3 linked regions of the Drosophila melanogaster genome follow. The protein of the gene in region 2 interacts with the protein of the main gene of each other region in a pairwise test. Each region holds a gene or a part of one and is shown on either strand. Other genes may lie near its edges. The genes, in order: CG43107, CG30472 and CG14511.

Region 1 (10,478 bases), 1.7 Mb from region 2:
ATCGAAGCCCTGCGTCCCGAACGATGCGAGGCACCACAAAGAACACTGGGCAAATCCTCACGCTGCCGAATAGAACGATTCAACTCATCAACGCGGGTGCACTTGGCTTTCAGCTAGTGTGAAAGTATGTGAAGACTGACTACAGAAATGATCCTGTGAAGTATAGTCTTAAGTTTTTGCTGCCCAACCTGTGGATCTTGGTGCGCTGCGGGCCAGAACTAGTTGAGAATCACAAGAGTGTGCGCATGAACAAAATGAACAGCACGTGGGGGGACAGGCGAAAGATGTATTAGTGCGTTGATATTATAGGGTGGGAATAGGTTCTGGTTAATTTCTTGAGTGTCTTACAACTGTTGTTGGAACTGATCGGAAAAATACAAAGTAAATTGTAAACAAAAAAAAACTTGGCAGCGGTGGGATTCGAACCCACGCCTCCGAGGAGACTGGTGCCTTAAACCAGCGCCTTAGACCGCTCGGCCACGCTACCATGTTGTAGATTATGTCAAACGCTCAACAAGAGACGAGGCTAGGAAGCAACAGAGGCGTTCTAACAAGTTGTGCGCACATATGAAGTATCTGAGTCTGCATGTTTGAACTATTTTTATGGACGCAACACCTTGTCTTTATTTTCCCACCCACACCGCTCCGCATATAAATGCTCTCATTTGGAAAAAAGGAATGTCAATCAAACGAAATCAATTTCTGGCGCAAGCCTTACTCCTTCGCCGCTCTGCTGCATTAAAATGTTTATTATATGTATTTTGCAAAACTGTCAGCGTTTTTTCCTGGCAGCGTCAGCTTAGAAATGCGTTTAAAATTCAAATGAAAATGCGAATTTATGCGTGACAGGCGGTGGTCGTGGTCTCTTCGCTCACACATGCAACCGCAGCAACAATTTCTGGTCTTGGGCTGACTGGCGGCGTCCCGTTGTTGCAGCCATAAACTGAAGCCGGCATCGGAGTTGGGCAAAAGACTCAGCAATGAAATTAGAAAATTGCAATAAAAATCTTTGCACGGCACGGGCACGAGAAGCAAAACAAAATAAAGTCTGCGGTTTCCATAAGGGTGCTACCCATAGCCGAAATAAGGGGTTGTGAGGCAGCATTTGCGGTTTCATTAAAATGCCACCGAAAAAGGGAGCAAAAAGTCGGAAGCCGCGTCAGCAATGGGAATATTTTGCCACACACGTGGATTTGTATATGAATTTAAAAAGGAGCGACATGGAAATAATTATAAAATAGTTAAATTTCCACGCCAGACAACTGTTGGGAAAATACAAAAAATCACGTACAATCCGCGTGGACAGAGGCGAGTCATCTGAATCCGGCCAGGTAAAACGCTAATGGAGTTAATTGAGGGCATTATCAAGAATGTTGGGCAGCTGGTATGTTGGAATCAAATTAAATTTCAAACAATTGACAAATTGAAATTCCACCGACGGAAACTGAACAATAGAAGCATTCCAAGCGCTTTAGAAGAGGTTAGACGGATGTCCACTTAATATGCTCGCCATCAAGGAGCAGTAAATGAAATGAATGACTAGACAAAATAGTTTTGTCAAGACCGCAGAGCTGCGAAATCACTTGGGTCAGTAAGAAGTAGTTGTGGGAGAAATATCTCCAAAGAAATGCTGGAATAGCACAATTTCAAAGTATAATTTTCGGCCAGACGTTTGAAAACAAATCAGCTATTACATTCTCGTTTTGTCTCTTGATGTGCGTTTGACATAGACTACAACACGGTAGCGTGGCCGAGCGGTCTAAGGCGCTGGTTTAAGGCACCAGTCTCCTCGGAGGCGTGGGTTCGAATCCCACCGCTGCCAAGTTTTTTTTATTTACAATTTCTTTTATATTTTTCCGATCAGTTCCAACAACAGTTGTAAGACACTCAAGAAATTAACCAGAACCTATTCCCACCCTATAATATCAACGCACTAATACATCTTTCGCCTGTCCCCCCACGTGCTGTTCATTTTGTTCATGCGCACACTCTTGTGATTCTCAACTAGTTCTGGCCCGCAGCGCACCAAGATCCACAGGTTGGGCAGCAAAAACTTAAGACTATACTTCACAGGATCATTTCTGTAGTCAGTCTTCACATACTTTCACACTAGCTGAAAGCCAAGTGCACCCGCGTTGATGAGTTGAATCGTTCTATTCGGCAGCGTGAGGATTTGCCCAGTGTTCTTTGTGGTGCCTCGCATCGTTCGGGACGCAGGGCTTCGATGATCGCTCGGTAGAAACGGATAGAGCGAATTCTGAGTGGTGCCCCCTTTTATGCGAATTAATTTAAGTATATCTCATTATTGTGCTTATGTTCTTTATAGTATTTAAATTGTTTTCGGATTTAGTCTCCATGTTCATGTGACATAATTTTACCTTGTGCACTCCTACTTAAAGAACGTTTTATACTGCTATAATTGAATATGCAGCGCAGTAAACCCTTCGGTCCCCTGGCAGTAATAATATTGTTCTTTCCGACCGCTCTAAACACTGTTGCTGCTGTTGCTCTGCAAAGCAATTAAAACAGCACTTGAGGGGCGACCCTTTTGCCGGTACGCTTGTTGCCAGTTTCAAGTGTTTTTGTTGCACGTTGACAGTCCGTTAAAGGTGACACAGGCGCCACCCCACGAGAATTACATATAAAACATTTTAGTGGGAAGCAGAGTTCCGCTTTTTGTTGCTTCAAGTGCGCTTCGTGCTTAAGACTTGGCAGTGAGTGGTCGAAAAAACTGTAAATTTGTATTAAAATTTTCGCTAATGGTTGTGGGGGCGTTGGAGCTCTAATTACTCAACGCTGCATATGAATGGTCCTCGAGCGAGGGCGTGATTTTTGGCTTAATTCAGAGCTGCAACGATCTCAATTAGTGGATGATGACTACTTGCAAGTGCCATCAAGTAGGTCCTTGGCGAACTTTTCCGAGTTCGTGTTTTGGTTGGCAAACTGCTCCACTTCGCCGAGATGCCCCCAATCCTATACGTAAGACTATAGTGCATAAATATTTGAGTAGCTTGTCTGTTGCACGCAACAACAATTATGTGTTGCCTAGTTTTTGTCAACTGTCCCATTTGGTTCTGCTCTGGGGCCTCGTTTTTTGCCAATTCTGTTGCCAAAGACGAAACAACACGTAGTGAAAATTTATTTAAGCAATGCAAAGCAAATACGAGTGCCAGTTTGGGTACAGTGCGTTTCATGACAGGCAAGTTATACATATGTGGTGACCCGGAGATCAATAGGAATTGAAGGGAAGGTATTTATTACTTTAGAATTGATGAATTATTAACATTAACTGTAAATATCTTGACTAAAGGTAATTCTGCGCATAGAATAACATTGTGAAACACAGTGTACCTCTTTTGGTTCACTTACAAATGTCGTATTTTTTGAGTGCTTACATAAAAACACATTTGAAATGCGGTTAACGGAAGGCAAAGGAAGTCGAAGGGAAATGGAAAATGGAGCCGAGGGAAAAAGAGAAGCAAGCACAGCACAGTCGAGGCAGCGCCACCTAGGGGCCCGAATTGACATCATTATCGTCATCCCCGGGCCAATCGATGATGATGATGATGATGCTGCCACTGATGGCAATGCGGCTGATGCCGTAATTGATGCCTTTGCGACATGCTTTCCCAAAGTGTTTACGTTGGGAATTACCCATGTGTGTCACTCGGTTGTATGTGCATGTGTTGGTAAGGGGTGTGTGTGAGCAGGGGCATGGGACCACGCCCCCAGCTAGTTGACAGCCAGCCGTTTACGTGCACTTAATGAAATGTGCCCCAAAATGGAAGCACGTACCGGGCATCTATTTAATGAGCCCAGCAAGAGGTTCTTCCTGCGCAGAAATTTCGAGAGGGGTCGACTGCAAATGGCTGGGTGGAATTTCTAGAATATCTAGTGTTTGAGAGTGGGCAGAGCTCATGAAATTTTTAAATGTCGCAGCTTAAATTCAATTTAATTTAGCTGCAATGGCTGCATTATTCAATGGCACTCACACGTAAGCGGCTCAAGAAAGTCCCCCAAAAACCTCCTAACACCATCGAAAACCTCAGACCAAAAGCACCAGCTCCAACCGCAGTTTAAAATTCATGTGAGCTTTTCAACAATTTTCCCAAACAAAATGCGATTAAATGTGCGGAAAATGCTGAGCTCTTGTTCTCGGTTTTCCCATGTTGTTGCTGGATAAGCCACAATGGGTTAAGGCAATGTCTTGTTTGCACATGTGTCGCTAGGGGGCGCCACCCCGTAGACCTCCGCACGTCGCTTCAAAAGTCGGATATGTCGGAAAAGTCGGAAAAGGAGTTAAAGCGCACACAGCACACACACATGCCGAAGGTGCAAAAATGCGTTAAACATAACATGCTAATTCCTGGTGCCTCCAGCTTCAATCTTTCACCTGCCCAGGTGAAATTCCCACACCCACTTATATACATTTATATGTATGTATGTATGCAGGAGCTGCCATCCTTGGGCCCTCGGAGATCGTCCTGCGGCAGGACTCGTTAGCTATGTAATACGAGCGTTTTGTGTGCCATTTGAGACCGAAGTTCTTCTCTATTTCCTGCCATTTGCCTTTGTGCTATGTGTTGGTTTTTATTCCCTGCCAGAAGGTATTTTCATTTGGCTTTCGGCAGTTATGGTAGTTAAGGCTTTTCTGTTTGAAACAATTCTATTCTTTTAACAACTATTCTATTTTGAAGAAAGTTAAGCTTAATTGTTTTTTTATATAATCGGGTATTATTGTCATGGATCTTATGTTTAATTTTCTTTCTTCTGCATTTTGACTTAGCTTATGAATTCACTTCGAATTCACTAAATATAATTTGGAACTGATTCATTCCATCGATCGTAAGTTTCGTAGCCCTGAAAATATATATTTTTTAAGCTTTTGAGAGCTTTTCCCCTCTCTTATTTATTTACGTGCAATCAGTTGATTCTTGCTTGCCGCCAGTTTAGAGTGTTTTTGTTATGAACAGTTCCAAAAACGATGTCCGTTCTTCCTTTAAATACGGGCCAGCTGTCCGGATCGGAATCGCCGTCCTGGTGCTCCACACCGTCGGCTGGCTGGGTTGGAAGGCGGTGAACCAGGGTGCGGAATCCAAGGAGGCAGCAGCGAAGGCCCAGCAAGAACAATTGCGAGCGGTATTCGCAGAAAAGTGATATAACTATGGATGATAACACCATACTGGTTAGCAAACCACCACGGACTGAGTGCATTTTAGATAGTTATTGTTAGAACCCTAGACAACTAAGTGTATTAAAAGAAATAAAAGGAATTGTTTGCTTGTTTGTTTTAAAGATTTTATTTTAAGCTTACCGTTGCTAAAAGCTTTTTATACCCTTGCAAAAGGTATATTGATTTCCGTCAGTATGTAAATAATCGAAAAATATAAGGAAACAAATTAGTTTCAGTTATACCATTTTGAATTTAATTTGATAACAATCGGTCGAATACAAAATAACACATATAGCTGCGTAGTCTGGCAGGTTTTGATCATAAAATAATCGTATTCGTATTATGCTGCAATTGGTAATTTATTAAAACGGTCACAAAAACATATGTGTACATTTTCGCAGTGTGACTTATTTTGACTTGACTTGCTTATATATGCTTATGCTTATATTGTGCTTAACATGGGTTACTTTTAAAAATACAAGTTTCTCCGCATATGTATGTACTGATGGCTAACCAATATTTACTGGTCAAGTTAATACATTTGGTAAATTTTAAGTATTGTCTTTTAAAAACGATCAGAGAGAGTGGCTTTGGCTTTCGCAATCTCTCCGAAAGCCCTCCAGATAAAAGCTTTGCCAGCTTTAGACTGAGAAATCAGCAACATATAAGCCAAGCTAGATTCAGTAACGCAGTTCCCAAGCCGGAGGCTAGTAGTCGAGTCACCTGGAGAAAACCGCGAAGATGCTATCAAGATCCGTGCTGATCGTAGTAGGCCTACTAATGCTGAGCTGGCAGTGGACGATGGCCATGCCGCCCCTTCCGAAGAACCAACCCAGCGGAGTATCTATTAGTCAGCCCGATATACCGGGAGCCTCGGATATTTTGGTGCAGAGCATCTTCAACATCGATCCATCGCTGTGTCCCAAGGGGTACATACGCACGGGTCCACATCACACGTGTCGTAGGATAGCCTAGGAAGACAAGCTCTGAAGATCGATTTAAAGTTCAATATCAGAACGTGCTACAAGCTGTGTTTTTATTGATACTTAAATAAATTCTATATAAATACTTGCAATTCTCACATACATATTTAAAAAATACGACACATTCGGTTTATATAAGTACAGGTTCATTAAAGTTAATCAACTGATTGTTGGCACTGATGAAATATTGTTTAATAACATTGTTATATTTTATCTGTTTACGCTGGTTTTCGGCATCGATCTAGGTACAGTTGAAAACCAGGCGAGCATTTCTTTTCCACTTGAAGAAGTAGTTGTATCGCCGTCCAAGTGATCAGATATAGCCATCTTTTAAGTTGGAGCGCCATTTCCATACAATGCACTTCGTACAACAATCGCTTCAAAACTAATGTTCTACGGCGATCAAAAAAGTTAGCTTTTATGTAGGGATTTTCCCTGTTATGTGTGTGCTCTTCAAGATATTGATAAAAATGCGCATTCCATTTATTTGATTAGTCAATGTAACCAATTACACACAGCTTTGTAATTATACAACTGTAATTCAATATTGTAGAGATAACGTTTTCTAAATTGATATATTTCAAGAAAAATGATAACGTATTGCAGCTTAATTGCATTCAGCTGATTAATACAATTTGTGATGTTCAAAAGCTGTTACAGTGGTATACGTAAGCTACTACGAAGTCATTTTTTTACCGAAGAGCATGCTGAGGTAATCTCTGGGAAATTTGTACTTCCAATCTTGCATAAACAACCTTATCAGTTGAATAAAATGCCCCAAAAATTGTATGTCTCAATTATTACACATAATGACAGATTTAATGACACAATGAAATATGTATTGTGAACATGAAACAGTATTAATCAGAATTTCATTTGAATCCGAATTCCCTAGGCTTCCTTCCTGCAACGTCCTGCCATGAGCTTGAGTCCTTCTGCACACTTGGGATCCAGGTTGAAGAGACTGCGCTGATTTACCGACTCTGGACTTGCTTCCTCAGCATCCGACTTGGGATCTCGGTTGGCTCCAGGCGCTGTGCTCAATTCTGGTGACAGAAAATCATGGGTGTTGAAGAGGTCGTTGATGTTTTGGTCAACATTGTCAGAAGATTGAGCTCGCCCTGGAATAGGTTGGATCACAGAAGACTGCGGATGCCCGGGAATCGGTTGAATTGTCTGCGCTCCGCCAGATCCCGCAGTTTCGTAATCCTGGCCGGGTCGAGGCTGCAAAGTCTTGGGGGACTGGAAATTGAAGTCGGAAAAGTCTTCATCTGCGCTTCCGGGACGCGGTTGTATGGAATTATTAGAAGTACCAGGTTTCCGTCCCTGGTTTAGACCTGGTTGTTGAAACTCTCCAGAATTCTGGTCTGGTTGTTGGAATCCTCCAGAACTCTGGTCTGGCTGCCGGAATCCTCCAGTACTCTGGCCTGGCTGTTGGAATCCTCCAGTACTCTGGCCTGGCTGTTGGAATCCCCCAGTACTCTGGCCTGGCTGTTGGAATCCCCCAGAACTCTGGCCTGGTTGCTGGAATCCTCCAGTACTCTGGCCTGGCTGTTGGAATCCTCCAGAATTTTGGCTTGGTTGCCGGAACCCCCCATTATTTTGGCCTGACTGTTGGAATCCGCCAGCATTTTCATTTGGCTGTTCGAATCCACCAGGGTTTTGGCCAGGTCGAGGCTGTAGGGTATTTGGATCACCACCCGGCTGCTGGGGTTCCAATCCTCGAGGGTAGGTGGGTAGCTCCTCATGGCTGCCAGATTGTTGATGTCCTGGCGCCCTTCCAGATGGTTGTGGTCTATTGAATTCATTTCCTGGCTGCTGAAAACCTGGTTGGCCCCTGTTGAAATCTCCACCCGGTTGCTGGAGGCCTGGATGTCCCCTGTTAAAATCACCTACAGGGTAGGGATATTCCTGTTGTCCTCTATGAAAACCACCTCCATGTTGGTGAAATTGACTGCCAGGTTGTCCTTGAACTGCACCGACGTTCGGATAATACGGTTGACGACCTCCTGATGGTTGATTATCTGGATAATACGAAGGAGGCGGTGGAAAACGACCGAAGACAAAGGGAGGTGGTCCAATGGATCCTGGGCCATATCCTGACCCATGTACGTGATGACCATGGTGGCGATGATGGTTCCTTAATAGAAAAAAAGTATTAGTGATACAAATATTATAAAATCATAACAATCTTATTAATTAATTTTAAATACTCACGGATATCCATGTCCGCCGTTTTCCACGTAGTAAGGATTCTGGGGACGAGCTGAAGTCCATTGTCCACTGATTAAAAGGATCAGTGACATAGCCAACCTTATAGATAAGAGTTGCAAAAACATTTTCGACACGAAATCGACCCAACGGCAGCGTTGAATATTCAAAACAGACTGAGCAGCGCTGTCGAGTCGAGAACAGACGATCTAACCGAGTTTAGTATTTATTATGAGCCGCTGATAAGCCAAGTTCATGACAGCAGATAAGGCATCAAATTACATAGCAGAAGAGTAGGGAATAACTGATGCAGCTGAATGCACCGGGAATTGTTTGAGTTAGACACTGACTCACAGTGATGGCCACCAAACTAAAATTACTGCGTTTTACACGACGCTAAGTTTCCCCCAATAGCGTTTCTCCCACAATTGTGATTTGGGTTTTCTATGGGTATTTTTGTCTGCCTCCGAATCGTTTATAATAGTCACCGAAAAAACCATTAATCAATCAAAAGTTCTACACAAATATCACTTTATTGGCTAACATCAATCTTAGCGACTACAGATTACGCCGGCTTTCTGCATCGTTTTCCGAACAGCTCAAAGCCAGGCTTACATTTTTGGGTCGTCTCCAGCAATATTCGGTTGTCTATAACTGGCAGCACAGTGGTGTTTTCATTAACCAGCTCCTCCGATCCGCTGGTGATCTGTTCTGTGCTGTTTGTACTTTCCAAACGGAGTGCTATTGTGGATGCGGGTTCCTCAGTTGTCGTTGTGGTCGAGTATGTGAATCTCGAGCTGGTATCGTCGTCATCCTTTGGAAAAACGATGCGATCGTTACCACTGGGCCGTGTTCTCGCCTCGGTGAGGAGGAAGACCAGCGGTAGGATGCACAGCACCAATGGATTAATACGTATCAACATTATCTCCGAGATGCACGCTCGTTTGCTACGATGAAGCTTCGATGACTGAGCGCGGAAACAACTGGCTGGCCATTTACATTCAGATTTTCATTCCCAGCGAAACCAGATAAATGATGGGAGCAAATCGTTGGGAGACAACAATAAGAATGGCAAGGGAGCTCATAAGCTCTCCCATGAAAACAAAACGTAAACAAAGCAGAAGAGTAGCGTTAAGCTTTTCAGATATATCTCAGCTAGTCTACACTGACAGAACTGAATTATCATAAAGCTTTTTTTTAATGAAATATGTTGGTGCCCAGCTATTTCGAACGTTTTTTTTTTTTTTTGTTGATTTGCAATGCAATAATTTACACTCAATACTTTTGAATTTATTTCTTACATTTTTGTCAATTAATTCTCACTTCTTTCCACTTTTATGGCTCTAATCTAGGCAATTTTCCGGCAACGATCTTTTACTGTCAGAGTAGTGCCGTTTGGACAAATTCGCGTTGTTTCCAGGACAATTCTAGGCTCAATACCCAAACTAGTGGAATCGCTAGCAATGGTTGGTTTCGTATTATCTGACTCTGAGGGAAACGCAAACTGATCGCTAGACACTCGAGCTGCACGATTTGTATCCAATGCCAGACACAGCCAGACAAACAAAAATAGCATCTTCGGCCAGGGAAGACGCCGCGTAATTGCCATCGTAAAGTTGGTTTTGTTTATTTGCAATCGACAGAGTCTCTGAAGTCTCAGTTTCCGGCTCTGTCTCACTTTCTGATTCAGATTCGGATTCACTTCGAGAGGATAACTTTAAAAGGAAGCTCAAGTAAACACATTCACTTCATTCAATATCGCACTAAGTTCTAAATCTGTGGAGGTTCAATTTTTAAGAATTTATAGCAGTTTCTAAGACCCTAAGATATTCATCCCGTCGTAGATACTATAAAATATTATTTAAAAATTATTCTAAGTGTGATTCAGTTTTTCAGCACCTTATTATAGAGCGAATCACTTGGAATGGTTATAGTTGAAAATGGGAAAAGCTTACCCATTCAAATAAGTTTGTATGCAGAGATATTCATTATATCCGTTTCCCGTATAGAATATTTGATTCGTTGAAACACTTACTGATATACTAACGAAGACGTTACCAGCAGCAAGATGTCTGCATTTGAGTTCATTTATAATTTTTATTACTAAAATC
Region 2 (11,128 bases):
TTGCTGGGGCTTCCTTTGGCATTTGACTTCGCCTTCGTCTGATGCCTTCCCAGTGTTTTTCTGTGCGGATTCCAAGGATGCAACCGCAGTTGCCCCCGGGCATCCCCAGCTCCTGGCGAACAGCGGCGGCATCTTGTGATTTATTATTAAACATGAATATGAATTCCTGGATGGAATGTGCTAGGCGAAGGCTGCAGGGGATTGAGACGCGAGAACTGAGCAAAAGAAAGAAAACGCTGCCAGGACCTGTTGGCATTTTTATGCCAGCGTTTTTATGATTAATTAAAATTTATGCCCGAGCAAATTATGCTTCCAAATACAAAGACCCATAGACCCATAGAGCCATAGACCCATGGACCTATAGAACCGCATGCGTATAAATATTCCTATTCAACGCGCGGGCATCAATTCCTTGTGGACATCAAGTCGCGTGATTAAGATTAAGAGGATTGTCATAAAGAAGAACACAATTTGGGCAACTTAATTGGTGGCACTCGAGGGGCGAGTGGTGAATGGGGAATGGTGAGTGGCGCGAAAAAAGCAAAACTATGCCGAATGTCCGGAAAAAAAAGTAAGAGCATTTCATATTTATTAAAGCAATAAAATAAAGTAGGAACCAACACGGTCGTCGCCCAGATAACGTGTCAGGACCCAGAGAAATATCACCGTGTCACCCACACACCAGCCTACACCCACACAAGCACTCGTCACACACACACACACACACACACACGCACGCAGAAAGAGACACTCCCACGCACACCACCATTGTAGCTTTGGTTGCGGTTAACGTGCAAATTTGTGTGCTTCCGTCACGATTGGCCTACGGATTTGTCGTAGGTCCCTGGGCAAGGATTCGACTCGAATAAGTTAGTGTGGGCAGGGCCATAAATTTAAAATTAACCCTTTACAAAAGGAGCACAGCTTTTGACCTTCAGTCGACGCGCGGCAACATGCTTAACCATAAATCCTAGGGACCGAAAGCCTCTTCTCGAGTTCTGCGAAATTAATCTGCTTTGCAGGTGGCCCGTTTGTGCATTTTAAATCAGTAAAAATAATTCCCAGTCACAATACGATTAATTAATTGAATGAGTTTCCACTCTCGAGCCAAATGGAATAATTCAAGCATATTGGCTCGGATGGCAACCGATAAGGGATATTCGCAGCAAAATGTCATTGCAGTAGCAGCACGCCATACAATAATAAATAAATGGGAAATACGACTTGGCTTCGGGCATTTTTGAAACAGGGCCGAAATGAAACTGAAATGAGGGAATAAGGAACGAAAGTCGAACGGACTGACTCAAGTGGTTGCTTCGCAGTCAAGACAATTCGAAAAATGCTTTTAAAAGGAAATCAGTAAAGGAATTTCGCTTATGGGCAACTGATTGTGCCATCGAATCGGGCGGAACAAGTTGAACAAGTACCGGAGGGTTTGGCGGAACAGGATGGAAGCGATTTTTTGTTGTCCGCTTTTGCCTTTATTTTGTTTTTCTCTTTCTGGCTGAAACACTTGGAAAATTGAATTGTTTTAGATTTTCCTTCACTTTGGGGCTCTCCCTGCCGCAGCGTATAAATCAAATTGGATTTTCTTGTGCACTTAACTCCGATTGACCGAATCGGAAGTAAACCCAAAACTCAATCACAGGCTATCGATGAAAAGTTCATTAGTAGGCTGGCAACGAATTGTTTAGCGGCATTTATTTCAGTAATCTATTGAAATCGGTTGAGGATGGCGTATATTCGAAATTTTCTGAATTCCCCCAATGACTGGACCCGACTTAATGAAAATATCAATGGAATAAAGCCACTGAATAGCTGCTTTTATTTCTTCAGCTTGAAAACGGGCTGCAATTTGATCGCCGGATTCGAAGCATTGGTAAATGTGCTACAAATGTGCAGCATTTACTTGTCGGAGATGGAGGTCAAGACCACAATCACAACTACGGAGTCACCGGATTCGATGCTTGTCACTAGGGAACCGGACGGAGATATGCTGGGACCCAACATGAGAACGCCTATGTTTGAAACTAACCTCTTCTTCCAAAAAGCACTAATCTCGTTGACTATCTTCAGATCAGTGCTACTTATTGTAGGTGCAGAATGGGTAAGTAGCTTTCATACGAGTTCAAATAATACATAATACTATACTCTTTCCAGAGTCACATATCCTGTCTCGTCCTTTGGATTTGTATTACGGTTATAACCTTGTTAATTAGCACTTGTAATGATATCATGCAAGATGACGAGCTGCTGACTTTTCTCTTTTCTACCATTTCTATTTGTGAGTAAAGAAGTAGTAGTAGTATGTGTATACCCCTTCTTAACCCTTAACTTTCGTTTTAATACAAATTTCAGTTCTTGAAATCTATTTCTGCGCAGTGGTTGCCTCCTTGGTTTTGAAATTGCAGCAAAAACTTCGTCGTAACGTGCAGGAATCGGAAGTGCTGTTCACACGAATGGAGGAAGTTTAATTAAATTCAAGATAATTAAACTATACATTTAAATTTGCAAGCTCCTACTTACAATTATTTAATTTTTACTTGTGTTGTTGCATTCCCAAATTGAAAAAGCATGTACTCATAATAATTTGGAAAAAAATACACAATATACTGCAATACTTTGTCATTTTCATATCTAAAACAATGCTATATAATGCTGACTTAAAAGCGTTTTTAGCTTAGTTATATGGTAAAGCATATGGTAATTTAAACAAATATTTCATTGGTAGTTAAGTTATAACATGCCTGGCCACTACAACCAATTTTTGAGCTACATATGTATGCACAGATTGCTACTTAAACATGCGTTTATTGTGGCTAAGTAATTGCATTTGCATTCAAAATCATGAAACATACACGAGCGGCGCGAAAACTTGCACATTTGCATGGGAAAATCCAGCAAATGTGCACACTGAAAATATAAAATATCGGGGTGTAGGAATCTCAAAAATTGATTGCACTGGCAAATTGGACAGGAAACAAAAGGCTGAAACGCTCGTTATCGCGATAACGAGTATTTCATCGTCGAAAATTGAAACCAAATATTGAGAGTATCGAGTTTAAATTCAAATTCTTACTTTTGCGTATGGCGATTTTTTGGGCGGTTCTCGCGAGGAGGTGGCCGCTGCTGCCGTGGGCGTGCCGCGTTTGTTGGGCCGATTCTTTTTGAGAACGATAACGCGCATGATGTGGCAGATATATATATATTTATTTATGTATATATTTTGTGAGAGAGGGGGTGTACGTGTGTGCGTGTGTCTCTCGGCTACTGGTATTTATTTACGCAAAGTGTTTTTAACAAACAACAAATTCGAGGTGTCGCCGTGGTCGCTAGTCTCTCTTTCAATTTTTCAAGTGATGGCCGTTCACAAACGGATTTCCACTCCTCGCGACATCGAAGTCGGATTAAGATATAGCTTTCGGATTTGGATTCGGATGCGAATTCAGATGCGGATACGGATGCGAAGTGTGTTGTGGGTGGTTGGTAGTTGGTAGTATTTTGTGGTTACAAGTACGTGTACGGGTGCTATTGCGACTGCACCCACATTCGGGTGGTGCGGTGCAGGCACAAAGGTCACGAAATTACAAAATGCAAAGCGAGCCGAGCCTCTAGCTCTAGATAGATTTTTACATAGTTGATGTTGCAATTACTGAGTAAGAATAGGTTAAACTACATCTAGATTAGCAAAGAGTATTGGTTATTTACAGTACATACGAGCTAGCTAGATTGATTGAGTTGTGTTTTATTGGCATTAGTTTGCACTAGCTTCTGATTGGTGAAATTAAGCGCTTGGCCACGAATTTCGACTACTTGGCTAGAAATTTGTTGTAGAAGGCAGGCAAAAGATTTGAAGTAATTCTGGCAGTGCTACATTAATTCGTTTTTTGTTTATTTATATTCTTTTCTATTTGTTTTTTGATTCGAATTCGTTGGGCGCACGGTGCGTATGCGTGATTGGTTAATAAAGCTAAGTTATTTTACATGGACTGTCGACTAGTTGGTTGCATTACTATTTTGATCATCGTTTGGTTACTTACGCGCTGCACTCAATTCAATTTATCTTGTGTGTGGCTATCAAAATAGAGAACAACTCGCCTAGAAAAGCCTGCCCTGAACTGCGCTCTAAAATTATGCATATATATTAGGAGGATATATATATATATATGAATGGTGTCTGTTTTCGGGATATATATATATTAATATATTTCAATTTTATTTGGATTTAAGGTTTGTGTTTCGTTTGCATTGGTTTCTTAGCTAGCCCCTCCAATTGCGCGATTGGCAGCCAATCGCACCTCAGTCGCGACGAAAAACGACGACGACGGCGCGTTTACGGATACGGATACGGCTGCGGAAGTACGGCTACGGCTACGGCTACGGCACTACGGCTACGGCTAATTTGTCGAACGGATCACCCAAGAGCGGAGCTGGCGAGCCGCGTTACGTATACGTCGAAGTGCAAGCACGTGACTGACTCGGAGCGACCGTTGCACGCTGCTTTTATAAACAGCTACATCGGGAGATGGCTCGAATGTCTGGCAACGCTTCGCATGCAATTTTCCGCGCGCGCTCTCTCTCTCTCTCTCTCTCTCACTCTCTGTCTCTCTCTTGCTCTCTCTGAAGTGACTTTTCCGAGCCCTGTTCGGCAACAGCTGATTCACTTGCAGGCCCAGAGGTTGAGGTTACAGTCAAAAGCCTGATGGTTTTTCCCAAACTCCCACGCAGTAATAGTTTGTCACACCAGAAAACACAGAAAATCGCACAGCACACGGTGTAATTTTGACTGAGTAACTCTCTTGTGAGGACCGCAAAAAAAAAACAGGGACCTAGCAAATGCAGGACAAAATCAAGCCAAACAGCCGCACTGACCACGCACAAGCTAATCTACCGCAGGACTAAGCGAAAGGCGAAGGACGAACCTGACCCACAGTTGGCTCCTGCTGGCGGCTTTCAGTGCTCCAAAAAGCGAGGGAGATGGCGAAACGCTTGGGTCACATGCGCAGTCGCCAATCAGCTGTTTGACCTACATACGAGCGCCAGTTCATCTGTACTTTCAAGCGTGCAAACGGGGGGCGTGTCGGGCGTCCCGACCCCGCCTAATGGAACTCATTAGATCTCGGCCATGAAAAGTTCACCCAAAAAGCTGTCAGCAACAGGTCTGTGGAAAGCTAAGTGAAAGCTTTTCCATGGCATAAACTTAACTTCGAAGTGGTTTCTTTTGCTGCTTTTCCAGCTTTATCGTGGTATATTTTCCCGCTAAACTTTATAGCTTTTCACCCCGACTAAATCGAAACTCACCTGAGCCCTTATGGCCGCCAAATGGATCTGCTTGGCTCGCAGGTCGAACTTCTTCATGGACAAATCTTCTTGAAGCTCATTGACCTTGTTGTACAGCTGACCCTCGATTCCACGGGTCTGCGTTCGATTTAGAGCCTCGATGGAGTCCTACGAGAGGAAAAGTAACCAGTCAAATTGATTATTTAAATAAATATTTTTGTAATAGATCTTGTAAAAGTTTACAATTTTTAAGAATAAAATGTATTTGTAATATTATAGATCTACTTGTAAAAGAAGGCTAGTTAAAAGCTTTCATAGGCAATACCCCAAATAACATATATTTAACTATCATTAAAAGCAATTTCCTGAAAATGTCTTCTAATGAGAATTGCCAAGGAAATCGCCGCATTTCGGAAAATCAGCATTGGAACAACATAAGGCTCAATTGTAAGGCCCTCCCAAGATTGAAGAGCTTCTTCTACTTTTTCGATTTGGAAAAAGGATGCAGGATTATAGCGGGCTTTGAGGCTTTGGTGAGCGTAATACAGATATTCAGTATATATCGTTTATCCAATCAATCAGTGCCAAGTTATATGATACCTGATCCCTTTTGGATCACAAAAATCGATAGGGAAGGAATAATCAAAAGAATGTTGCTTTATCATACAAGTAATCGTTTTTGCATGGGACTCGGATTGGTTACTGTTCTCAATTCTCTGCTGTTGCTAATTGGAAGCAAATGGGTGAGAGTCAACAGATGGTATTCGAATATAAAGGCTAATACCCATACTTTTTCGTCAAGGGCCACCAGGTTTGCCTCTTTCTTTGGATTTATATAACGGTATTCACCACTCTCATATCGAATATAAATAATAACTTAAGGAACCCAAATTTTGCACAAACTTTTCTAATAGTTCCATCATTGAGTAAGTGCCAAAACGTGAAGTCATTGCAAAAAAAATAAACAATATAACCTCTAACAGCTCTGGAGGGCTATTTCACATTGATAGTCGCATCTTTAATTTGTAAATTCCAAGACAAGCAAGATGAGTGTAACTCATACACCGAAATGCACACTTCAGATGGCAAAGAGTGCAGTTCTATCGAGAATACCGAACAGATATAAGCGGTTTTTTAATTGTATGACTTTACATAGTTTTTTGTGAAAGTTAAAGGATAACAGAAAAAAAAAACAATTGTGATATTGGCCACCCATTCAAATAAAATCTTTGGAAACATAACAAACCATTTTTTTTAAGTACCGACATGGCTGCGATATCGTACTGTGAGCTTTTATCATTTTGTGTATTATTGTGGATTATTCATCTCACCTGCAGCTGACGTATTTGCAATTCCAATTCGATGGCCTCCCGCTTCAGCGACTCCAACGCGGAGCGTTGTGACAGTGTGGAGTGCCGGTCGAAGACCAACTCGTTCCGCAGGCAGGGCGTCATCTCCTGCGGCGGACAGGTGCCCACAAAAACAATCACTTTAGTCCGCCGGACAGGTGTTATATGCACTACTACTCACGTTGTGGTCGCCCGCCTCCTCGCCGACCTCTGCTTGCGGCGATGCAAAGAGCCGTCTGGGAATCTTCTGGGCCTGCGATGGTTGGGCCAGGAGCCGGACGAAGTTCACTAGATCCTGTTGAGGTGAGACAGCTGCGCACTGGTTGCTCAGACTGTTGTACCGCTTAGCTTGGTCATTGGCCTGCGGAAAAATTATGATTTGGACACATTATTGACACAGATGTTTTGGTTTCCCTTAAACTGCAGTTGCATGGAGACTTAACTTATCTTTATCTTTACTTTCATATTAAATTGTGCAGTTCCAATACCCTTAAATTTTATAGTTATCTAGATCCTTAAGCCCTTCTATATTCTTCTTTGTTTGAATTTTATTCCAGTATTTATTGTTGTATATTTTTTCATCGAGCTACCTACCAATTCATATATGTTTTTTTCCATTTCCTCATACCCTACACCGGTAAAAAAAAGTGTCGCAATCATCAGGCAGGACCTGCCCACGCATTAGGCAAATTACCAGGGCAAATTGCTACACCGCGCAATTATAATAATCGGGTACAAATTACTGTCCAGGAAACAAAAGGTGCTGCAGAAATTAACTCGAATTCGAGGTGCCACTGGGCGGGCAACTACCACTATCACACTATACCATGTTTATGGGGTGCGACAACCACCTGCTGCAGTGATAAATCACTGGTCGGCGGGGCACTCACCTTGCCGGCAATTACTTCTGCGCCCTGCATCAGCGAGTCGGACACAATGGCGACCAGGTCGTTGTGGATCTCCTCCAGCTCCTGCATCTGCTGGGGCAGGGTGTCCGTGTGGTAGGCCTCCAGCATTCCATTTGTGGCATGCAGCTGCTGCACGTACGCATTATGGGCGTCGATGTATTCGGTGAGCGAGTGCTGGCTGGGATTCTGTCGGTGGGCCAGGTGGCACTGCTTGTAGTCCACACGGCACTGTGGATGGGGAGAGAATGGCAATGGCAATGGCAATGGCAACGGCAACCAACAAAAGGGAGGGGGTAAAGGTTCACAAGGGTTGGGTGGTCAATTTATGGGTAATCACAGAAAAGGGTAAATTGGCACACGCACAATGGACAGAGCATTTGACGGGCAATTGGACCGGCCCACACTGCGTATGCGATATTTTCTGCTTGAACAGAGTTTTAAGGCATCTTAAAGGCCTGTTCGGTAAGATTACTTTTGGGACTTCAAAACCTTGAGGACTCAACGCTTTTTTGTTAATTAAACTCACCTTTGACAGCTTCTCTTCAGTCTTTGCGATAATAGTCTCAAAAGACTCCCTGTGTGTAAATATTTTACGGCTTTGAACTTTGCGATGAAAGGATTTATCCAGCATTGGTCGCGACACCTAAAGAAGTGGGTAAATAAATTATGTATGGCATATCTTTCAGTCCCCTGCCAGTTTTACGAATGAAAAAAGGGCAAATCATCGTGAAAAATGAAAATTAAATGTGTAAGCCAAGTAAAACAAAGCAAACGCCGCGGCAAAACAACATTATTCGGCACTCGAAAAACATATGTCATTTCCCAAGGCCCCGCAGCGCCACGCCCCCACTAATTAACCATAATTAGAGTCTGCCTTTTATAATGCAAATTGGGATTTTTTTTTGTGCTGCCTCAAGGCCCCAAAAACACACATATGGCTAGCACATCCGATCGATGTGGTAACTGGTACAAATAAAAATTATCATATATTATTATTAGTATAAATCTGGCTATTGTTTCAAAGGGAAAGTAAATCAATGAATTCCCGCATTAAGTTAATTAAAAATATTTTAGGGCAAGTGCACAACAGTCGTCCGTAAAGTTCTATTTTCAGTGAAGGTAACTGAATATTTAACGCGACACGATAATGCCATTAACCCATTTCGGTTTCGGCAACTTTCTCGACGAAAACCGTAATTTAAGGGACTCTCACCTGGCGGGAAAGGACGCTGGCCACGTCGTTGCAGGCCTGTGAATCGGTTTCGACCTCCTGCAGGAATGTTTCCCATGCCTGAAAGATGGCCAAGTGGCAGGCGGGTCTGCACGCCACTCGGTTGGGTTTTTGGCAACTGAATTTGGCTGGGAAAATCGTTTGGGCCACTTACCTTTCTTTGCGTAATTCGGCATTCTTCTTGCGATAATTGGACACCGCAACTTGGAGGGCAGTTGCGTGTTCCTCGTACAGACGGGATAGTGTTTCGGAGAAATCGGATACTGTAATTGAATTAGGTTGAGTGAGCTTTAAGGTCAAATAAAACTAAGAGGCAGTCACGCTTTATGACGAGCCACAAAGTGCATTAGACACACTGAAAGCACCGGAAACGGATATGCCAACAGGGGAGAGGTGGGCACTTCCGGCTAAAGTCTTTGTGCTTTTCTCCCAAGGCAGTGAACAAAAAATACCTTAGACAATAAAATGTATTTATTTATTTACTTTTGAAACATTTAAATGTTTTAAAAACTTTTTACGAGTGTGATTTTTTCACATTTCCCATACTTTGGTTTGCCTGTAACAAAAGTAGCCAGTTTATGCGCAGTAAAGCACAAAAAGTCAGCCTCTTTAAAAGGATTGACTGTCTGTTGGATAATCCATCACATTTACGATTACTCAGGCATATATGAATATGGATGTTTGGCTTTTAGCCACTTAAGCTGCCAGTTTATGGCCCAATCGTTTTATGGCCTGCCAGATACGCGATTATAGCGTCACGGCAACAGGTTGTCAAATGTGTTGAAACTGAAAAGTTTCTGACACTGTTGTAGGCAACTTTAATTTAATCAATAATTTTTTATTCCAACTTCTCTGATTTCACATGCAGTTCACAGCAAAAATGTTATTAAAAACTTTACAGGCTACACAGAACTACTGGAAACTCTGATGTTCGCCAGTGCCAAAGGTGCCATCCGCTGGGACAACTTTCTCCGACAGCGCCGTAATTCAAAGTCAAAGTTATGTCGAAAAGTTGCAGCTGTGTCAGGGGATGTTGTTCGTTGGGTAAACATACTCATAGTTGGAATAGCGAATTTACGAGGCTTTGCTGGCTGAAGAGCCTCTGCCTGAACTGATTTATGTCTCAATCTGACGAACCGACAAAGACAATCGGCAATCGAAATCAATAAGCCATAAAAGCGACTACGGAAACTTATCAAATAAAATGCTGCCACATAAATTGCTTTTCGTTTTCCCTTTCAGGGCGCAACCAACGCCCGCTGTTTGTCACTTTTTTGTGCCACCTGGCGAGCGTGTCAGGTGTGAAAGTCTGGCACACGTCACGTGTACTCCCATGTGTCGGAATGGGATAGGAGTTGGAAATATATTGGCTTCTGGTTTAACTCACCTGTTTTAATTAACTTAAAGTTGACATTGTTCTGTGATTTGAATGCCTCGTTCAAACTGCTGTGACTGTAATCCTTGAGCACGCCGTTGTAGGACGCCATGCTGCCGCCCTGGGGGCTAAGGGAACCACCTCGTGGTCCCCTCCACCCAAAGATCCTCCTCCTACGACTTCTTCGACCACTTGAAGATTTTACCGAAGAACCTGCCGACGACAATATCGTTATCACTCACTGGACTTACAACAAATGTAATCCATTTTTTACTCAAACCAAAAATTAATCAACTCGTAAAACCAAACAATTAAATAAGGAAAACAAACAGAACGCAGCATAAATTCCAAACAAAACGAACCGAATTGAAAGCAAACAAATGAGAATTTCCAAACGAAATGTGATTTGATTTCGGGTGGTGGGAGTAAAGTATCCGTCAGGCAATGTCAGGAATTATTTTGGCCACGCCATAGTAAATACACAAGTCGGCCCTCCATTCCCCCAAACCCCTGGCCAATCAAACAGATCGCTGCCTTTTGTATTTATGCATAAATAATGAGTGAAGGCAGCTCCCCATTTGCCCCCCACGGCCTTTCACTTTTTCTATCGCTCCTATTTTCGCCTTGCACCAAGACGGAAATTCGAGTATTTCAGTCCAAGACAGCTCCTTAAACCCGAGCCCCATTACCAAAGTCAACAAAAGGACTCAAACAACAGCGGGCAAAATGGTGGTTCACCCCCTTGAATACTAAGCTCTAATAAATGATTTGGTTAGTTATTGGTAATTTAAGAATAAAACTTTAATTTTGTATTTATCAAGCAATGGTTCTCAAAAAGGTTTTACTTAAAGATAGAAGTATACCATCTCGATTTAACACTAATAAAAATTAGCTGTGATGCTTTTTAGTCCTATATCTTTAAGCTTTACTGTATGTAGGTTCCTCTGACTTGCTGGTCTTTAGTTCCTTTTTGCTCTGATGTTTG
Region 3 (10,972 bases), on a different chromosome or scaffold from region 2:
GCTCTTGGGTCTGAGACGGAAAGGAGAAAGACCGCCAGCCCAGCTACTCCCGCTCCTGTGACCTTCGCTACGGTGGCCCAAACCGAGGAACTGGAAACGGAAACTGCTGCTCTGACCTTGGAAAGCCAGGAAGCTCCCGAGTCCGACGAAGAAGCCGTGGAGGAAGCCTCACCAGAACTTATACTCAAGAATGCCTTCCTCTCCGCCTTGAAAAACCATGGAAAGAAGCTGCCCCTGCCTCTGCTGACGAGCAATTTCTACAGACTCTATGTGGTCACGGAGGCCACGGAGCAAATCGACCTGAAGAAGACGCGCTACAAAAAGCTCTCCAACTTTCTGGCCGAGATGGTGGACCAAGGATTCATTGTGGTGCGGGAGGAGAGCAAGGGAGTGGATAAAATCACATCTGTGGACCTGGAGCACCCCGAAGTGGTGAACTTTATAACCGATGTCAAGGCAAGCGAAGCTAATGGAGCGGCGTCCGAGACGCCCCTGTTCCACTCCGAGCTGAAGGAGATGTACATAGTGACCGATGTTACGGCGGCCTTCTTCACCAAGCTGAATTACAAGCGCGGCGAGGGAATCCCGGCGGGTCAGATCAAGAAGATTGTGCGGGAGTACGTGAGCAAACATGGTCTCCTCCATCCGCTGACCAAGCTGGTGCGCCCCGACGACACTCTGATCGAGCTGTATGGTAACAGAGAGGTTTCGCTAAGCGAGATGTGCTCCCTCATCACCAGCAAGATGGAGCACTCCTACCAGATGTGCAGCGGCAAAGATACGAGCGGGAAGCCCCTCATCCAGATGTCCCTGGCCACGCGATCGGGCAACAAGAAGGTGACGCTGGTCAGCAACATCGAGGCGTACGGCATCATCCTGGCCGAGTTCATCAAGCTGTGCAAGCAGGGAGCCGCCGCCAGCACCAGTGTGGTGAAACTGCCGCACCAAAAGCACGAGCAGCTGCAAATCCAGGGCAACCAGGTGCGATTTGTGCACACGCTGCTCACGGAAACGTACAAGGTGCCGCCCAAGTGCATCCTGGGCCTGGAATTGGCCAAGGACGGCAAGAAGAATAAGAAGAAGTGAGCCGGACAATAAATGAAGCCTCCTCCGCCTGTCCTCTTGAGTGTAATAATAAATTATTTATTAACTGTAGTGGGGATGAACCAATTACTGCTACGCGAACAACAACAACGAATGGGATTGGCTACATCTTGAACAGAAGCGTAATCAGAATGCTCTGACTTGTGCCGTATTTGAGTGGATTCTCATGAGGTGTGGCCTGCGTGCTTACTTGGCCTTGCCCTGGGCGGCCACAGCCTCGATGGCCTTCTTCACGGTCTCCTCGTCGCCGAGGAACTGCATGGACACCACCGGCTTGAAGTTCTCGTCCAGCTCGTAGACGAACGGAATGCCCGTGGGCAGATTTAGGGCCATGATGGCGTCCTCAGAAAGGTCTGGATTGGACAAGGATATGGTAAAAAGATGATATGATATATGTTATGTCTCCCATGCTCACTGTCTAAATGCTTGACGATGCCACGGAGGCTGTTGCCGTGGGCAGCGATCAGGATGCGCTTGCCCTCCTTCATCTGGGGAATGATGACGTCGTTCCAGTAGGGCAGTGTGCGTTCGATGGTCAGCTTGAGGGACTCGAACTGGGGGAACTCCTCGGGCTTGGGACCCTCGGCGTAGCGGGGATCCTTGACGATGTTCTCGTAGTACGGATGGCCCGGCTCCATCGGTGGTGGCGGGGTGTCGAAGCTGCGACGCCAGATCTGCACCTGGGCCTCGCCGTACTTGGCGGCGGTCTCGGCCTTGTTCAGGCCAGTGAGTCCACCGTAGTGGCGCTCGTTCAGGCGCCAAGTCTTCTGGATGGGGATCTCCTTGTGGCCACTGGCCTTCAGGATGCTGGCCAGCGTCACCTGGGCGCGGGTCAGCACCGAGGTGTGGGCCACATCGAACTCCAGGCCGGCATCCTTGACGGCCTTGCCGGCGGCTAGGGCCTCCTCCTGACCTGTTTGGGCAAATGTTTAGCGAACATTAAGTATACGCCGTGTTGGGTAACGAACGTAAGCCAATTTAATCTAATTGAAAGGCATGCGTTTAATTTAATTTGATTACTAGGGTTAAAAAAAGGCGATAACCTATCAAATTATGCTCATAAGCATAATCTGAACTTTAGAAACATATGAGATGGCAAATTTTTGACTTTAAAGTGTAACAAACTAGAATTTTGATGCTTCTGAAAATTGCACTGGAAAGCTTTTGTTTGTAGAGACCTATTTTTATCACAGAAAAGTTTGAATGAGATAATGTTGCACTAGGTCAATGAAGATTAATTTGGGTAAATGAAAAGGAATACTATTGTGAAACTGATCAAAGCAAAGGATCATCGATTGGAAACTAGATGTACATCAGATTTTTAATCCCACATATGAGGTTTAAATTTCAAATTGATGTAATCACTCACCCTTTTCGCTGAGGTTGGCGTCGTACCAGCCGCAGAACTGATTCTTCTGGTTCCACTCGGACTCGCCGTGGCGCACCATCACGATCTTGTACTTGCCGCCCATTTTAGCTGCGTTGATCACTCTGCGGATAATTGTGTACTCGTTCTTAAGCTGCCGCCTTGCTGCGACTGCAATATGTGGGAATTCTGCTGAAGTTTGACCTACAAGGGAGCCGTCCAAGGTCGCAGCTGTCAGGCCGCGATATTGCCGTTCTGTTGGAAAAACGTAGTGCGCAGATGCGGTGCCTTCTCTGATTGGACTCCGGAGTATGGTCTTATTGGAATAGCGCGTCAAGCTACCTTCAAATGTCCAATTAGTTTGCGCTGTGCAACAGGTTGGCATCCCCCGCGCAGATGTTATCGCTCGCGTTTGTCATCACTATATTCGTGTTTTGGTTTTTAAATTTGGCTGTTTTTAAATTTTGCTCCCATAAATTCCAACTTTTTGTCACTTAAAGCATGTGCGAAAAGGTCACCGCGCGCTGCACTTGGCCCCAGCTGTCGGGCAACGGGCTGGACCAACTGGTGGCCACCCGCTTGTCCGACGAAGACGTCTTTGTGAAGTGAGACAAAGGATTCCACGCCCCGAAACTGGTTTTTATCAAGTAATTTTGAAACCTCCTTTGTCCGCAGGCCCGACTTGGACGACGTGATCGACGAGAATCGCGCCGTGCTGTTTTCCATGCAGTCGGCGGATCCGCCGCCGCCTTGTGAGCTGCGCTTCCAGATCCCGAACCGCTTCAAAATCGCCGCGCTCACCCTGATTTGCAGCGCTCCCAAGGTGGAGCTGTTCATTGGACCCTTGCAGGAGTACTGCGAGACCATCTACGGCACTTGCGTCGACGATGAGGACCCAGAGGTTGCGGTGCGACCCTATCGCTATGACATGGAAATCGACCGATCCGGGATAAATGACATAAACCTGAAGATGCTCACCTCGGCCAGCGAGATCTGCGTTTACGGAGCCCTGCTCCAGGTGGCGCCGAATCCCAACGGCATAACCACCCAGTTGCCCAGGCCAATGGATGCGCAGCGAATCCAAGAGCTGCTGCAAAGGGGTGGCACGAGTCCCTTGAAGAAGGAGGAGCAGGCCGAAAAGTTCGAGCAGTTCATGAGCCTGATGAAGGGCTATTCCCCGCAGGCGAAGGACCAAACCCAAGAGACTGCACCGCCTTCCACCGATGTTGCAATCCTCAAGGAGCACATCGACATGAGATTTGAGAAGCTGACGCTGTTAGTGTCTAAGAGACTGGACAACTTCGAGGCCCAGCAGACGGAAAAGTTAAACAAAATTATTGCCTTGCTGGAAAAGGAAAAATAAGTAATATACCATTAATTTGCTAATCTGTAATTTCTTTCTTAGCATTGTCATCATTGTATTTTGTAATTGTTGTAAAAGACTGTTGGTGCGAATATTTCGAATGTGATTAGGCAACATATTTAAGTTTGGTTTTGAATGTAATGTACATTAAATAAAATATTCTTCTCTTAAAATCATAAATTTTTTCTTTTTCGCTTGGAATATTTGAATTTCAACCACTTTCGATAGACCAACATCAGCTGTGCCCGAACCGAACTTTATCGATAACCACCTGTTGCATTTGTTTACGTTTTGTATGGCCGAAGAGAAAGTAAGTTGGCTTAAAAGCTCGTCATGGCCCAGATCGTAGGTTAAAGTTGGTGGGAATCGTCTACTTTCGTTGCGCGAGTTCATGAATTTATCCATCCGCGCTATTTCGGCCATCTGCGGCGTTTTCTTGGGCTGCTGCAGTGGCGTCGTCTTCTTGGAGCTCCTGGTTAAACTGGATCCCGGCGCTGGAAACCTTATAACTGGCGCCCAGTTTGCATTTATTGCCCTCGAGGGCTTCATCTTCACCTCGAAGTTTGGCCTGGCCCAGAGAGTGATCAGCCTGCGCGACTATGCGCTCCTCGTGGCCATGTTTTTCCTGACCAGCGTATGCAACAACTACGTGTTCAAGTTCAAAGTTCCAATGACACTGCACATGATCATACGCGGCGGTTCGCTGATCTCCAACATGTGCCTGTGCACGTTGATCCTGAAGAGGAGTTACCGGTTGAGTCAGTACATATCGGTGCTCATGATCAGCGTGGGCATTTTCGTCTGCACATATTTCTCCAGTCCGGATTTGGTGGGTAAGATGGAGAATTTGGATAGTGGCGCCGAGGCGGATACGTTCTGGTGGCTGTTGGGCGTGGCACTCTTGGTGCTGGCTCTATTTGTTTCCTCCTACATGGGAATTACACAGGAGTTGCTGTATCGACGTCATGGCAAGTGCGCCAGGGAAGCGTTGTATTACACCCACCTGTTGCCGCTGCCCGCCTTCCTGCTCATGCATGACGACATACGGACGCACTGGCTTTTGGCGTTCACGGGCGAGTCCTACCAGTTGCCCCTCCTGGGCGTGGCAGTGCCCCTAATCCTGCTATACTTATTGGGCAACGTGCTTGCGCAGCATTTGTGCATCAGCTCCGTTTACACCCTGACCACGGAGTGCAGCTCGCTGACGGTGACTCTGATCCTCACACTCCGCAAGTTCATCTCGCTGGTCTTTTCGATCGTATACTTCCGAAATCCCTTCACCTGGTGGCACTGGCTGGGCACCGCGCTAGTCTTTGTGGGCACCTTGATGTTTGCAAATGTGATCAGAGTTCCGAAATGAAAAAACCAGGCTGTGAAACAGGAATAGGCTTTCCAAAACTTTTTTGTGACGAACAATGTTATAATTCCATTTACATTTACAATTACATTTAAGTACAAATTAAAATTACAAGACTCATAATTGTTATGAAAAGAAGGCATACATTAAAAGTAATGAAAAACGTGATGCTCTGGACGATCTGCCAAGGGCTTTCTCTCTTTGGCGACTCTGAATTGGTAAAACACGCGACATAAATATTACACATAAATGCATTGGTGGCCCAACCCATGCAGTTGCAGCTGCGAAATCTAATACTGCTGCAGCCTTGATCCAGCCAAGCCGCAGAATCCGTTCCTTACGCTTGCGCCTCGTTCTCCAGCCACCGCACGATCGACTTGTAGTTCTTGTTCATCCAGTCGACGCTGGTCTCGATGTGCTCCACGATCTGTTGCACGGGTCTGTCGTAGTCCCAGTGGGCGTCCTTCACGAAGTTCTCAAATTCGCCCAGCTGGAACTTGGAGTTGAAGCCCTTCGTGGCGAACTTGAACAGCGTGTGGATGCTGGACATCTGTGAGCCCATGCTGGAAAAAATGCAAACCCTTTAGTAATGCACGGAATAAAGCGACAATTTCGCCACTTACTAGGTCTTGATCTCCTGCCAGTTGTTGCGCAGAAAATCAAAGGCTATGTTCTGGCCCACTACCGTGGTGGAAACTGCTGCGAATACCCGGAACAAGTCCTGTTTCCGGATATGCTGTCCGGAAATGCCGCGACGCAAGAAACGATAAAGCAACCAGGGCTCCTTGGAGCAGCCAAGTGCATTCAACAGCAAATCCTTCTCCCCAGGCACGTTCGTCTTCAAAAAGCGCTCGAAAGCAAAGTCCCATTCGTACTCGGTGCCGTATTGTATCGCAGAGCAGTAAACGACTCCCCTGAGATTTGGCACAATGCTGAAAAGGAAGTAATAATTTATTGGAATTGTGTTGAGTGTATTAATTACTTCGTTTATTGCTTACGGATTATTTGAATCTGGATTCGGCGTCTGCATCCAGTTCTGGAAGTGCCTGCTCGCCTCCGCGATGCACTCTTGGTGACCTAAATGACAGGCCATGCTCAGAATATCGGCACGCTTCAGCTTCACCAGGATGTCCTCTGATTCGTCCTGCGAGTCCTTAAAGCCCACCTGGTCGTAGACTTTCTTCAACTGCTTAAGCAGATAGTTCTGTGAGAATCAGAAATGTCAAATAATATTTATAGCACGCCCAATGGTTAAAAGCAAACCTTTAGAAGGTCGTAGTCGCCGGAGTTGACGAACATGGAGTCGATAAAAATGAAGTTGCTGATGGCCGCCTTCCACGGCACATGGCCCAATTCATGGCCAAGGTAGCGAGTCAAATTCATGGCGGTTTCATAGGACAGATAAGAACCTCTGGCCAGATTCATCACATCATCGATCAACTGGGCACGGTTCGCAGGAGCAATGTCCTCAAAGTTGTCCACATCCATCAGGTGTTCTGTGATCGCCATCCAGTTTTCTAGATCGTAGTTGACGCGGTAGTAACCTGTCTGTTGAACATTGAAAATGAACCACTTGGCCAAGGAGAGTTCCCTGTTCTCCAGCTCGTACAGCTTGGTGCGCGGCATCCATGTAGTCGGACGGGTGTTGGCAAAATTCAACTCGGAGTCAGTGGTAAACGTAATGGGTATGTACCACAGGAGACTCTCATCCTCCCTGGTGGTGTTGGTGTACACAAAGCGGACCTGCTCCAGACGAATCACATCGGAGTTGGGATGCCTTGACACCTTAACCACCGGATAGCCAGTTTGCAGCGTCCACGTATCCATGATCTCTTTAACACTTCTGCTGTCGTCCAGCAACCCAGAGGATTTGGCTTCAACGGTAAGGAAATGCCACAGATCGTCCTGTGTTGCAGAGTTGTAAGCCCTGAAAGCGGCCCAATTTTAGAATATACGAGTATAAATCGGTTATCATTCTCTAAGGACTTACATTTCCTGCAGGTATTTGCTCAGACCCCGACGGAAAATTGGATTTGTGAGGAAGTGGGCCATCATGCGAATAATAGTTGAACCCTTGGCGTAGGAAATTCTATCGAAGATTTCCGAAATCTCCTGCGGATTAAACACCTCGTGCGAGATCTTATGGGATGTGGAAAGGGCATCCAGTTGGAACACTGCTTGCAGCTCATTAACCACAAACTGGTCCAACTGTTTCCATTCGGGCGCAACTGCATCGGCCGTCAAGTACTCCATGTAACTGGCAAACCCCTCGTTAAGCCAGATATCCGACCACCAGCTCGGTGTTACCAGGTTTCCGAACCACTGGTGGGCTAACTCGTGACCCACAACCGAGGCCACTCGTTGCTTGTTATTGGCCGTGGCTACACCTGGGTCATAAAGCATTGCAGTCTCCCTGAAGGTAATTAGACCCCAGTTCTCCATAGCGCCCGCTTGGAACTCTGGCAGAGCAATCATGTCGATCTTCGGCAGGGGGAACGTTACATTGAAAAAGTCCTGCAGGAATGTGAGAATCCTGGGACCAACGGACAGGGCATACTCGGCCGATTTGATGGCATCCGCTCGAGCCCAGACGGCAAAGTTACCGGATGAGATGTGCGTAAAGTCGGATATGGCATAGGCCACCAGATAGGTGGACATGGGCAGCGATTCGGCAAAGTGATCCCACACATAGCTTGGCATGGTGGCGCTAAGAAGATCAAAGATTACACTTAAATAGAATGATTACTTTGATAGCAAAGGCAATACTCACTGATCGTTGCTGGACACAATGGGCATGTTGGATATGGTGGTCATGTTGCGAGGACGAGCGATGTGCAGCGTAAAGTTGGCCTTCAGCGCGGGCTCATCGAAACAGGGAAAAGCTCGTCGGGCATCTGTGGCCTGAAACTGGGTAGAAGCTACCCACCTTGTCTCGTTGTGCACCTCGTAGGAGCTGCGGTAAAATCCCTGCAGATAGTCCTCGATAATGCCATCAAAGCGTAGATGCACCACGTACTCCACATCTTTGAGCAGCTTGTCATACAGCTCGATCACGAAGAACTGTTTGGCCCCCACCAGGTACTGTTTGTGAATCCGCAGACCGTCGCCTTCCGGTTCACCATTGTTCTGCACTCGGTGGACGGAGGCGTCGCTACGCGAAATGTTCAGCTCCTCAGCGTGCATAGTGATGTTATAGCAATCCTCCAGCACCCTTATCCTTATCTGAACACTACCGGCAAAGGTGAAGTTGCCGCTGAGCTGCGGTTCGATTGTGATGTTGTATTTAAGCGGGCGGATGGAGTGCGGCAGGCGGACATCTCTATCGTATTTAGGTGTGTCATCATGTCCAGCCTTTAGCCTCCTCAAATGGTAGCTGGTGCAAACAACATCCTCATCGGAATCGGGCTCCAGTTCAGCGCAAGTGGCAAAGTTGTAGACAATAAAGCCCACTGCTAGCAGGGTGCAGATGAAGAAGGAGGCTAGCAGAATGGCGGTGGTCAGGGACACACTGTAGCGACGCCCGCCTTTCGAGAACGTGGTGGTAGTGGTGGGCGTAGCGGCATTCATGGGTCGGCTTTCCATGTTCAGATTCTCATGGAGCGGTATCTCCTTAACGACCATGATGGCTGCAATAGAAGATGAATCAAACTTTATAATGATGAACATAAACCAATAACTAAAACGGAAGATTAAGTCGTAGCCTAATAAGGTAAATGCAGTTCCCAATTCATAAACAGGAAGAAGGATCTGGGCAACCACTTCCACAACCACTTCCGCTGTAGCTTTCAATATGAGCCCAAGTAATATGATATCCAACTGCAGGTTGCACATTCTGCAATCTCGGGGTTCCACTTAAGTGGTTTCTCTGGTCCGGTGCCAACCCCTTTGGCTATCTGGTGTTTCGATTAAATTGCGTAAATTGGGCATGAGCCATGTCCTTGTGGCTGACAAGCGAAGCCACAGGAAGGGGCTTGCGAACAGGGCTTGCGGTTTTCGAGTAGGAGACCGTTTAGTTTGCTGCTCAGAAGGGGTCGTAGAGAACGTAACTGATTCATTAGCTCATCGTCGATGGGGAAAACAAGTGTATGATTTTACAACGAGTAGCAAAAAATCATTGCTCACGTAATAAGCAAAATGATGTATTATCCAGCAGAATATCTTAGTCGATAAAGACGTTGTTATACGCTACTTAAACCAAGAGCGCTTGGTTCTGGTTGGGTAAAGTATTTGAAAAATCTGAAGCAATTGTTCTTGATGTAAGGATTAATGTCATTAATAGGTTTATATGAAAAAGGGTTGGAATACTACCTAGTTTTTGTGCTCGTGCTCAATTGTAAAAATGAAACACACCCACTAAGACTGGAAAATATTAATGGCTGGCTTACGCGGCGACTTAAATATAAGCTTAAGTCACCTAGCGGGTTTTTTAGTGGAGCTCCGTTGGGTAGCCACTTGCAACTGGCTGGATGGGAAGGGTGTTTCCCACTGCCAGTGTCATCGACTGAAATATATATTTAAATTCGCAATATTTCCCATTCAGAAGTTGTTGCTGGAGTTGGAATATGCGTAGGGCATTTCCAATTCCCCGTATCAAATCCAAAAGCAACCCACACAATTATGATGATTTTAGACGTAAATTAAAGCAAGGCGATAATTGATTTTTACACTTAATAACTTAGGAATTATTTTTAAATAGGAAGAGCGTTATAAATACATGTTAATAGATCGCGATCGTGATCTTAACAATTAGTACGATATTGGGAAAGTCGAATTTTAGTCAATGAAAGTGGGAAAAGTTTCATTTAAATTAAGAAGAAAGGAATATTTGTATATGCTCTAAAAATAATCTGCTAGAATAGCTATACATTTCGGTTTACTATTACTATGTCTGATTGAAGACGTTCCTATCGCGATGTCAATGGCCCAGGGGACCCATTCTTGGGACTACTTTATATACTAAAAGCGAGTTTCCTCAGCAGCCTCTCAGATTGTAGCTGAACACAGATGTCTCCTCGTAGAGCAGCGCTATTATCAATTGGCAAAAGTTTAAGCACAAATTGAGCGGGCAACAACAACATTGTCGTAAATCAACTTATATATTCATGCAAATACGCCCGCCGGCTAATTGAGTTATGGCATTAATTTGATCAGCTTCTGTAGCATTTGCAGCATCTGCAGCTCCCTGCTCTTTCTCCTTCGGCTGATGATGCTACTGCTGCTGCTGTTTTTGCAAATTGCTGCAATTAAACGCCGACAACCATGTACAGAAGTCAACCCCGTCGCTGGCTCGATGACCTTCATTAAAATAAGGCTGCAAATGATACGCCGCCTCCATCCGCCTCAGCCCACTCCGCCCATCCCATCCCGCCTCCATGGGGTCCGTATCCCTGGGTCGCTCGCGCTCGTTGGGGATCCAATTTATAGCAATATTTCATTGATAAACTGCGTGTAAGCCGCTGGCGATGTGTCAGCATATGGCGATGGATAAGGCTAGTACACTTCGATTCACGCATTATTTGCTGGAAATCTTCAAAATTCCTAACTAATTAGATCGGACATATGTAACTTTGCTTAAAGTGAACCTTTTCATTTTGATCAGTGGAACCAATTTTATAGGACTAGAATGTACGGTTTTCTCACAGTGCAGACAGTTAATAAACACAAGGACATGAACGCCTGCGAGTGGGAAAGCGAATATTGACAAATCATTGGGAAAGTTGTGGGGGGGGGGGTGATATGGGAAGCAAAAGGGAATCAAGAGACAGCGGAGACAAGTAAATAT

Evidence for each region.
Region 1: the proteins of CG30472 (region 2) and CG43107 interact in a two-hybrid assay, tested with the Drosophila melanogaster proteins (one large-scale study listed by BioGRID).
Region 3: the proteins of CG30472 (region 2) and CG14511 interact in a two-hybrid assay, tested with the Drosophila melanogaster proteins (one large-scale study listed by BioGRID).

The regions. Positions count from the first base shown.
Region 1 is NT_033778.4:17,135,309-17,145,786, reverse strand, and holds CG43107 (uncharacterized protein), read left to right. Parts: upstream 1-4,921; 5' UTR 4,922-4,965; coding exon 4,966-5,157; 3' UTR 5,158-5,292; downstream 5,293-10,478. Other genes in the region: CG43103 (uncharacterized protein), read left to right, coding at 5,915-6,148; Gbp2 (Growth-blocking peptide 2), read right to left, coding at 7,048-8,296, 8,374-8,495; Gbp1 (Growth-blocking peptide 1), read right to left, coding at 8,933-9,289.
Region 2 is NT_033778.4:15,418,579-15,429,706, reverse strand, and holds CG30472 (uncharacterized protein), read left to right. Parts: upstream 1-5,567; 5' UTR 5,568-5,651; coding exon 5,652-6,023; intron 6,024-6,082; coding exon 6,083-6,206; intron 6,207-6,263; coding exon 6,264-6,406; 3' UTR 6,407-6,522; downstream 6,523-11,128. Other genes in the region: CG34188 (uncharacterized protein), read left to right, coding at 1,733-2,107, 2,161-2,284, 2,359-2,474; Stacl (Stac-like), read right to left, coding at 5,302-5,448, 6,612-6,737, 6,811-6,990, 7,520-7,765, 8,064-8,180, 8,751-8,856, 8,923-9,031, 10,156-10,356.
Region 3 is NT_033777.3:29,140,054-29,151,025, reverse strand, and holds CG14511 (uncharacterized protein), read left to right. Parts: upstream 1-4,132; 5' UTR 4,133-4,224; coding exon 4,225-5,193; 3' UTR 5,194-5,348; downstream 5,349-10,972. Other genes in the region: eIF2D (eukaryotic translation initiation factor 2D), read left to right, coding at 1-1,086; Pglym78 (phosphoglyceromutase 78), read right to left, coding at 1,291-1,457, 1,520-2,017, 2,474-2,576; CG11882 (uncharacterized protein), read left to right, coding at 2,972-3,075, 3,146-3,833; superdeath (suppressor of ER stress-induced death), read right to left, coding at 5,528-5,753, 5,814-6,122, 6,189-6,394, 6,454-7,117, 7,181-7,897, 7,961-8,816.